2 linked regions of the Arabidopsis thaliana genome follow. The protein of the gene in region 1 interacts with the protein of each later gene in a biochemical or structural test. Each region holds a gene or a part of one and is shown on either strand. Other genes may lie near its edges.

Region 1 (5,207 bases):
AAAAACGTACGAAACGAATAATTACGAGAACTTAAGAATGTAAAACAAATCATGATGATGATTGATTATTCTATGTGTGGACGACGAATGCAATAAACATCTCTTTGTTTTACTTTCTATTTAGTAAACCTTGAGTCCTCGATGGCCAATCAAAGTACTATACGTAACTTTGTTTTGGGTAGGGAGTACTACTATACATAATTAATGTAGCATAAAGCATAACGATATATTTTCGCCTTAAAACTGTAAACTTAACCGTAATAAAATTGTGTGCCGCATGTCTAAATAATTCGTGTGTTCATCTTTTAGTGAAGTAATAAAAGGCAAGGGTAAAATGGTCCGCACAGACGCAGACATCGATGAGATCGAAAACAAAAGTAACGAGATGAGACCAAACGTGCAAGCCATGGGTTGGTCCAACACTTATCATTTTTAGGCCTAAAAGTTTGTGATTATTCCCTGCCTTTTTATCCTCCCATTTTTTCTTTTATTTACCAACATATTTTCTTTTTACATACATCAGTGAGATTTTTTCGACTTTTTTTTCAACTTCGTGTTCAAAGATCAGCGAGTTTTTTAGTTTGACTATTGATGCATCATACATTTGTTTAACCAGTGGTACATACATACGATTGATACACTTTTACAATCCACGTATTTACGACAAATGTGAATTAATATTTAATACACTTTATTATTAAATTCAGGCGTCTTTCTTTTGTGAAAAAAAAACACTTAATTATATGCATTCATTCTATAATTACTCATTTCATTATTAATTTCGTAAGTAATTATTTAGTATTATACTACTACCCCGCAGTACCATATTATCAGCTTTGAATACCCATAAATAACTAGTTTGATAACTACAATGGATTGGATTGAAACATTAGTAGACTAGGAAAAATCTCTTTTATATAATACTAGTATTCAAAAACAAAAACAAAAACTGTTATCAAATATACATCCACTTTAGTATGTTTTCCAGTACGAACCGAAATTGGAGTATGGACACTGCATAAGCAGCAGAAATGTGTACTTGAAAGGTTCACACCTTAAGATTTCATGCCGACCAATCGTGTCGGCCCACCAACACTTTAAAGCTCTTTAACCCAATTCCGCGTTCTTTCAGAAGAACAATTTCAGCATTCAACTTTTTGACCTTCCATTTTCTTTTTCTTCATTTTTTTACATTTGATTTTCTCCCCATAAAGTTTAATTTTATCATTGTTTATGTCTTTTGTCTTTTTTATGTCTTTCCTCGAGTAACACTGTCCGAAAATAACAACTCTTAATCGTGCGCAGTCACATAATTTAGGAATAACAAAGTCATCCTTTATAATTTCATTACTAGAATTTTGAAAAGAAAATTAAGAGACTACTAAGTTTTACTCCTAGTTTGACTGACCATATTTGTCGATTAATTTATAAAACATGTTGTTTGTTTGTTTTTAACGGGTAACTGGTGATAAAACAGAAATCTCTAAAACTCTACCGAGTTATATCACATTACTTGTTTAATTGGTTCAGATATTATCATCATCATATAGAACAATCCACCAGTTATGCCTGATTCTTAAAATCAGTTATACCAAAATAATTCTCATATAGAGAGAAAAATAAATTTGGTTGGAACTAAAGCAAATGACAAATCAGTACAACAACGATTACATGTATATATAACTTAAAAAGTTAAAACAAGATAATTGAATGGTTATCCAAAGAACTCTCTCACCTAATAATAATCTTAAGATGCCACAAATCCAAAAAAAAATAATCACAATTTTGCAAATTTAAATACTTTGCTTTGTCTATTCTTGGTAGGTTTTGTTTTTCTCTCTTCCGTTCACACAATTTCTTGGCGATCACGAAAGACAAAAAAGAAAAAGAAGAAAACAAGAGATTTCACATCAATCAAATCGATTCCATTGCGCGTGTAACCGCAATGCGCAATTGGGAGGACCCGTTTACGCTTGCGTGTAACACGGCCTTGAAGAAGAATCTACCTTCTTGCATTTTCATCATCATCTTTATCAGCGTGTTATGTCCGGTGGCAATGTCTCAGGTGGTTGTGCCGGATTCAGATGCAGATTGTCTCTTGCGATTCAAAGATACATTAGCAAATGGTTCAGAATTTCGTAGTTGGGATCCATTATCATCACCATGTCAAGGAAATACAGCAAATTGGTTTGGTGTTCTTTGTAGCAATTACGTTTGGGGATTACAACTTGAGGGAATGGGTTTGACCGGGAAACTAAACCTCGACCCATTGGTTCCAATGAAGAATCTGCGAACCATAAGCTTCATGAACAATAACTTCAATGGCCCAATGCCTCAAGTTAAGAGGTTTACTTCGCTGAAATCTTTGTATTTGTCTAATAACCGGTTTTCGGGGGAGATACCCGCAGATGCATTTCTAGGTATGCCACTTTTGAAGAAAATTTTGCTGGCTAATAACGCATTCCGAGGAACAATTCCTTCTTCTCTAGCCTCTTTGCCAATGCTTTTAGAGTTGAGGCTAAATGGTAATCAATTTCAAGGGCAAATACCATCTTTTCAACAGAAGGATCTTAAATTAGCTAGCTTTGAAAACAATGATCTCGATGGACCGATACCTGAAAGTCTTCGAAACATGGATCCAGGCTCTTTTGCAGGTAACAATAAAAATGTTCTACATATTAATATTGTCATATAATGCTTTTAGAATCAAATGTCAACATGACATCCTTTTTAGGTGTGCAACTAGAGAATTCATTATTTTCATATAAATTTTGCATAAACCTTTCAAGAGTTTGATGCATTTTTGATGACATGAATATTCTATGTTTTGTAAATTGTAGGTAACAAAGGTTTGTGTGATGCTCCCTTAAGTCCATGTTCCTCTTCCTCTCCGGGGGTTCCTGTTGTTCCGGTATCTCCCGTTGATCCAAAATCTACTTCTCCTCCCACGGGGAAAAAGGCCGGATCTTTTTACACTCTAGCAATCATTTTGATTGTTATTGGCATAATACTAGTGATCATCGCGCTTGTGTTCTGTTTCGTTCAATCAAGAAGACGTAATTTCTTGTCAGCTTATCCTTCTTCTGCGGGAAAAGAAAGGATAGAGAGCTATAATTATCATCAATCCACAAACAAGAACAATAAACCCGCAGAATCCGTAAATCACACAAGGAGAGGATCGATGCCTGATCCAGGAGGAAGGCTTCTATTCGTGAGGGACGATATTCAAAGATTCGATCTTCAAGATCTTTTGAGAGCTTCAGCTGAAGTTCTTGGTAGCGGAACATTTGGTGCTTCATACAAAGCAGCGATATCTAGTGGACAAACATTGGTTGTGAAGAGGTATAAACATATGAACAATGTCGGAAGAGATGAGTTTCATGAGCATATGAGACGGTTAGGGAGATTAAACCATCCAAATATATTGCCTCTCGTTGCTTACTATTACCGTAGAGAGGAGAAGCTTCTAGTCACTGAATTTATGCCCAACAGTAGCTTGGCAAGCCATCTTCATGGTATGTTTGAATAAGAATTGTTAATAATTTGACATTTTATAAAACTTTTTGTGAATACTAACTATTTGAATTATACGTTCGCAGCGAATAATTCCGCTGGATTGGATTGGATAACACGTTTAAAGATCATAAAAGGAGTAGCAAAGGGTTTATCTTACTTGTTTGACGAGCTTCCAACACTAACAATCCCTCATGGTCATATGAAGTCATCGAATATTGTTTTAGACGATTCATTCGAGCCATTGTTAACAGATTACGCTCTAAGACCTATGATGAGCTCAGAGCACGCACATAACTTCATGACAGCTTACAAATCGCCAGAGTATAGACCTTCGAAAGGACAAATCATAACGAAGAAGACAGATGTTTGGTGTTTTGGTGTGTTGATCTTGGAAGTTTTGACAGGAAGATTCCCTGAAAATTACTTAACGCAAGGTTATGATTCTAACATGAGTCTTGTGACTTGGGTTAACGATATGGTTAAGGAGAAGAAAACAGGTGACGTGTTCGACAAGGAAATGAAAGGGAAGAAGAATTGTAAAGCGGAAATGATTAATTTGTTGAAAATTGGTTTGAGATGTTGCGAAGAAGAAGAAGAGAGGAGGATGGATATGAGAGAAGTTGTGGAGATGGTTGAGATGTTGAGAGAAGGAGAATCTGAAGATGATTTTGGTTCTATGGATCATCGAGGGACTCATAATAATGTGTATTCTTCCATGTTGTTAGACGATGATGACTTTGGTTTCTCGATGAATCGATGAGTTTCAGATTTTCGGTTGCTTTTAGGAATATTGAAAAAGTTTCAAAAAAAGGTGGTTATTCCGGCGGAAGTAGCTTCACCGGAGCCGGAGGGAAGAATGAAGAACATGTGCTTGGTTTTTCTTCTTTTTAAGGTTAATGCAGATAAAAAATGTATGAGAATGTAATGGACTAAAACATGTAAATATATTATGTATCTGTATTAATGTATATTACCATCATCATCAGCTTTAGGTCTTGAATCCAACAAATGATTTGTGTTTTATTTTTTTTTGCCTTTTCAATTTTATATACCATTCTCGTCGTGTTATAAGTGTAGATTATTTTTTTCTAACATTTATATATATATATATATATATATATATATATATATATATATATATATATATATATTATCATCGTCAGCTGTATTTTGGCCTTAACATTTCATTTTTGCTTTATATATGCGTTCACTAGATCAGCATTAATATTTTGTATAAATTAAATTGTATATTTTGTTTGAATTACATAAAAAATATTATAGTATAAAAATGATGTCATAATATTTTTTAATATTTTTACTATTTGCATATAATGCTTCATTAGATTGACTTTGTTTAAAAATGTTATTTTTATAATAAATACAACATATGTAGTTTTAAGTAAATGTGTAAAATTTGTATATAATTGTTTTGGTAAGAAACATTTTTCTTTTGTATTAGAGGATCTAATTTTTGGCCTAACTTAGAATTAGTCTTTGTATAGTATTTTGGTTACATTTGTAGACCTAATTGGGGCCTATATTAGATTATCTTTGATAGGGCTGACGAAAAAACGGACCCGATAACCAACCTAATACCCGAACCAAAAAACTGGGTTAGGGCGGGTTAAAATTTTAGGAAATTTCCTTATTGGGTAGACTTTTAATAAACCCGTGGATATCCGATTGGTCCG
Region 2 (3,403 bases), 1.1 Mb from region 1:
TGAGAGGATTTACAACCAAGACAACCTTTTTCTTGTAGTGATATATATATATATAAATATATATATATATAATTACAATTATGAGATTAGTGTTCAAGAAAGCTAGACGACGGCCGTGGAGTCGCACATCTATGAGATTCGATCTCTGGCTTCGCCTTCGGCTAAAACGCGGCTTCGGTAACTAAACCAATTCGATTAGTAGTGTAAAATATTTTTCATTAATTTTTTCACATAAGTTTTCTATTATTTGATTTTTGTTTTTATGCTAATGCGTATTTTATATTTTTGTCAACACGTATAGGCTTCATAGCTTACATAGCCTTTGCATGTCATGTGCGGCATAGAATTTAGAATCAATGATCAGAATATATAATTAATGAACAATACATGATCATTATTTCTCACATATTTCAATATAAGTTGTATATTTATAAGATTATAGTATCATTATTTCCTCCAACTTTTCTGTTGTTGTTTAGGTCAACGAGCTAGTAAAAAAGGGTTAATGGTCAACGGCTCAACGTTATGGACTTCACGGTCCGAGTAAGTTAATCAACTTAGAAGGTGATGAAACGACTGTCATGAACATTTGATAATGACACGTAGAGGTAGAGAGAGCACATTACAGTCGCCAGGTTCCGTTGCGTAGTAAGCGTAACCGGTGTGTGAATCTTACCGGCTTTAATGGCAACAAAGAAGGATCTAGTTCCACCGTCACCACACGTGCAACGTTTGAATAAAACTTTTGTTTTAAGAGACAACTCATGTACATGCACTTTGATGATTTCAAAGAGCACTTGTGCTGTTTTGTTTCAGTCATGTGTGTTGTTTGTTCCATTATGGTTTTTAGCCTAAATTAATTAGTTTGACTCTCTTTTCTTATTGTTTTCGTACACGAAGTCACGAATCTAATTCATACTCGAGATCAAACAAGTTTCAAATTTACATAATAAAGGTATTATAATACAACAGAACAAATGTAACCTTTTATCATCAATAATATTGATTCAATTATGATATGTATTGAAAAATGCATTCACGTTCTTGACAGTTATACATAAATCGTATGTAACAGAAGCAAAGGAAATGGATTGGTAGTTTTGTGTCTTGACGGTAATGCTGATGTTTCTGAAAAAAAAAGTAGCAATCAACAAAGTCATAGAAAAGCTAAAGTGACAGAAAGTAAAAATACGTTAGTAAAGATAATAATGGTACAATACTCAAGTATTTTTTTGTTTGTGAACCGAAATTTATTAATGTTCGAATTTTTCCTTTACGATTTTACTCATTGCTGACTACTATATAGACTTCAACTCCATATATACTCTCTACAAAAAGTAACATAAGATTTTCAAATTATATGAAAACTAATAGTAGATGAGAAAAAGCAAATGGACCGTATTGTTCATAGTACCTATATGTTTAGATCGACATGCTATTTTCTAGGTTTTTAGGCCATTCACTTAGTTTAAGTTGTTTACTTTTCTGTTTTTATGTTATAGTTATGTAAGGTATTTCAGAAATATTTTCACAGTCGATCTTATTATTTTATATGATACTTAATTACTAAAATCCTTCATATCTATTTGTCAAATTAATTTGTCTTTTAACCATAACGAAAGATTCAAAGAACTGTTTTACCATACCATTGAAAACCTTTTTCGCCAATCAGATACAAAATTGTATGACGTAATCTAGACAACAATCACTTGTGGTAGCCTAGATTTGAGGAAAAGTCAATTCATTTAAGCAATTGCCTGCAAAAAGACAATTTCTTTTAAAAATAAAATAAATTCGAAGTTTCAATAATGTTTTTGCTGCCTTAAAATACCTCTTCAATCGCAAGAACACAGATCTTCACTTAAGTCCCACTCTTTCTTTTCCTTGCTTCTTCTCAGCTCCAAAGCCAAACTCTCTTTGGTTACTTTTTACTTAAAACAAAATGGTCATTAAGATCCCTAATACTTTCATTAAAGCCACTTCACTTCTCTCATTGATCCTCTATTTCCTAATAATAGCAACATCTAAGTCTAACTCGGTTTTAGCCGATGAAGTTGTCGACCAAGAAGATGACCCGGAGTACTACATTCTCGACGAAACTCCCTCGATACTTTCAAACGTGACAATTTCATCCAAAACTAGGCTACTAGTTTCCCACTACAAGAAGATCAAGAAAGGAATGAGATGTCACGTCGAGAGTTACAACATTTGCAATGGCGTAAAAGCGAATAAAGGGACGAGCCTCTTGCATTGCTGCAAGAAGCATTGTCGGAATGTGCTAGGAGATAGGAACAATTGTGGTCGATGCGGTCACAAATGCGGTTTCGGGCAACGTTGTTGCGGTGGCGTTTGCACTTACGTTAACTTTAACCCTAACCATTGTGGGAAATGCACTAGGAAATGTGCGTCCGGGGTTAAATGCGAGTACGGGTATTGTGGGTATGCTTGATTTTTATAGAAAAAAATGAAAAAAGTGTTATATCGTAATTTTGAGTTGTTATATTTTTGGTTTTTTTTGAAGAAACTGTTATTAGCATACGTAAGGATTTCACGTATACAAAATCTTCATGCATACGCATGTAATGTAATGATTTTGTGAGTGAGAGTATACATATGTAAACACATACATGATTATTTAATAGAAATAAATAAATAAATTGTTATAACTTTGTAGATTTTTTCGTCGGTTCTTTTACATTAATAGAGATTAATTAGAACTAGTCCAAAAAAAATAAAAAACTATGAGAAGAGAAGAAAAAGAATGATTGATAATTTGTTTACAGCTTCTTTCTAAAGATATCTGATGATTTCAACTGCAAATTTACCTTTCTTCGTTTCATTGATCTCTCCAATCTGTGATTGAACACAAAAAGGTTAATGTTATTGAAACTAATCAGTAACTAAACTCACTTTCCAACAATCTTTCTTACCTTGAGTCTCCCTTTCCCGCTAACGGAGACAACATCACCAGTCTTCACTATGGTTCCGTTCTTTGTAACGGTTGCCCAGTTAACCCGAACATCCTTGCTACTGCATACAAAGAAGAATTTTCTTTAGCAAATATGAGAATGCAATGAAAGATCAAATGGAAAAATAAAGCTTTTTGTTTACCTAATCAAATCAACTAGCTTTGACCGCGAAATCTTGAAACCAGCACTAGCTACTGCATCAATTCTCAACGAGGCCTCCACGGTTTTAAAGGAATTAGTCCTAACAAACAAACAAAATCAAGCCACTGCAAAAAAACTTCCAATGCAAAAAGAAGGTATGTTTCTAGGAATTAGAGCTCATACCTAGGCGGTTCGTATTCAAGAGCAAGCAAAGGTATCTTACTACAAGTTACACCAACATTTCCAACCTATGAAAAACAACACAGTGTCAGAGTAATGCAGGGCAAGATATT

The links.
Region 2: the proteins of PRK5 (region 1) and GRI form a complex in vitro, tested with the Arabidopsis thaliana proteins (one study listed by BioGRID).

The regions. Positions count from the first base shown.
Region 1 is NC_003070.9:18,740,226-18,745,432, forward strand, and holds PRK5 (Leucine-rich repeat protein kinase family protein), read left to right. Parts: upstream 1-1,801; 5' UTR 1,802-1,945; coding exon 1,946-2,654; intron 2,655-2,840; coding exon 2,841-3,515; intron 3,516-3,599; coding exon 3,600-4,276; 3' UTR 4,277-4,580; downstream 4,581-5,207. UniProt on the Arabidopsis thaliana protein: Receptor-like kinase involved in the control of pollen germination and pollen tube polar growth. The extracellular domain serves as a sensor for peptides derived from GRI. May act as a downstream element for ROS-dependent cell death induced by GRI.
Region 2 is NC_003070.9:19,793,993-19,797,395, reverse strand, and holds GRI (Stigma-specific Stig1 family protein), read left to right. Parts: upstream 1-1,851; 5' UTR 1,852-1,942; coding exon 1,943-2,449; 3' UTR 2,450-2,673; downstream 2,674-3,403. Other genes in the region: AT1G53120 (RNA-binding S4 domain-containing protein), read right to left, coding at 2,791-2,853, 2,931-3,030, 3,112-3,210, 3,294-3,358. UniProt on the Arabidopsis thaliana protein: Involved in the regulation of cell death induced by extracellular reactive oxygen species. Only the processed peptide, and not the full length GRI can bind in vivo to the extracellular domain of the receptor PRK5.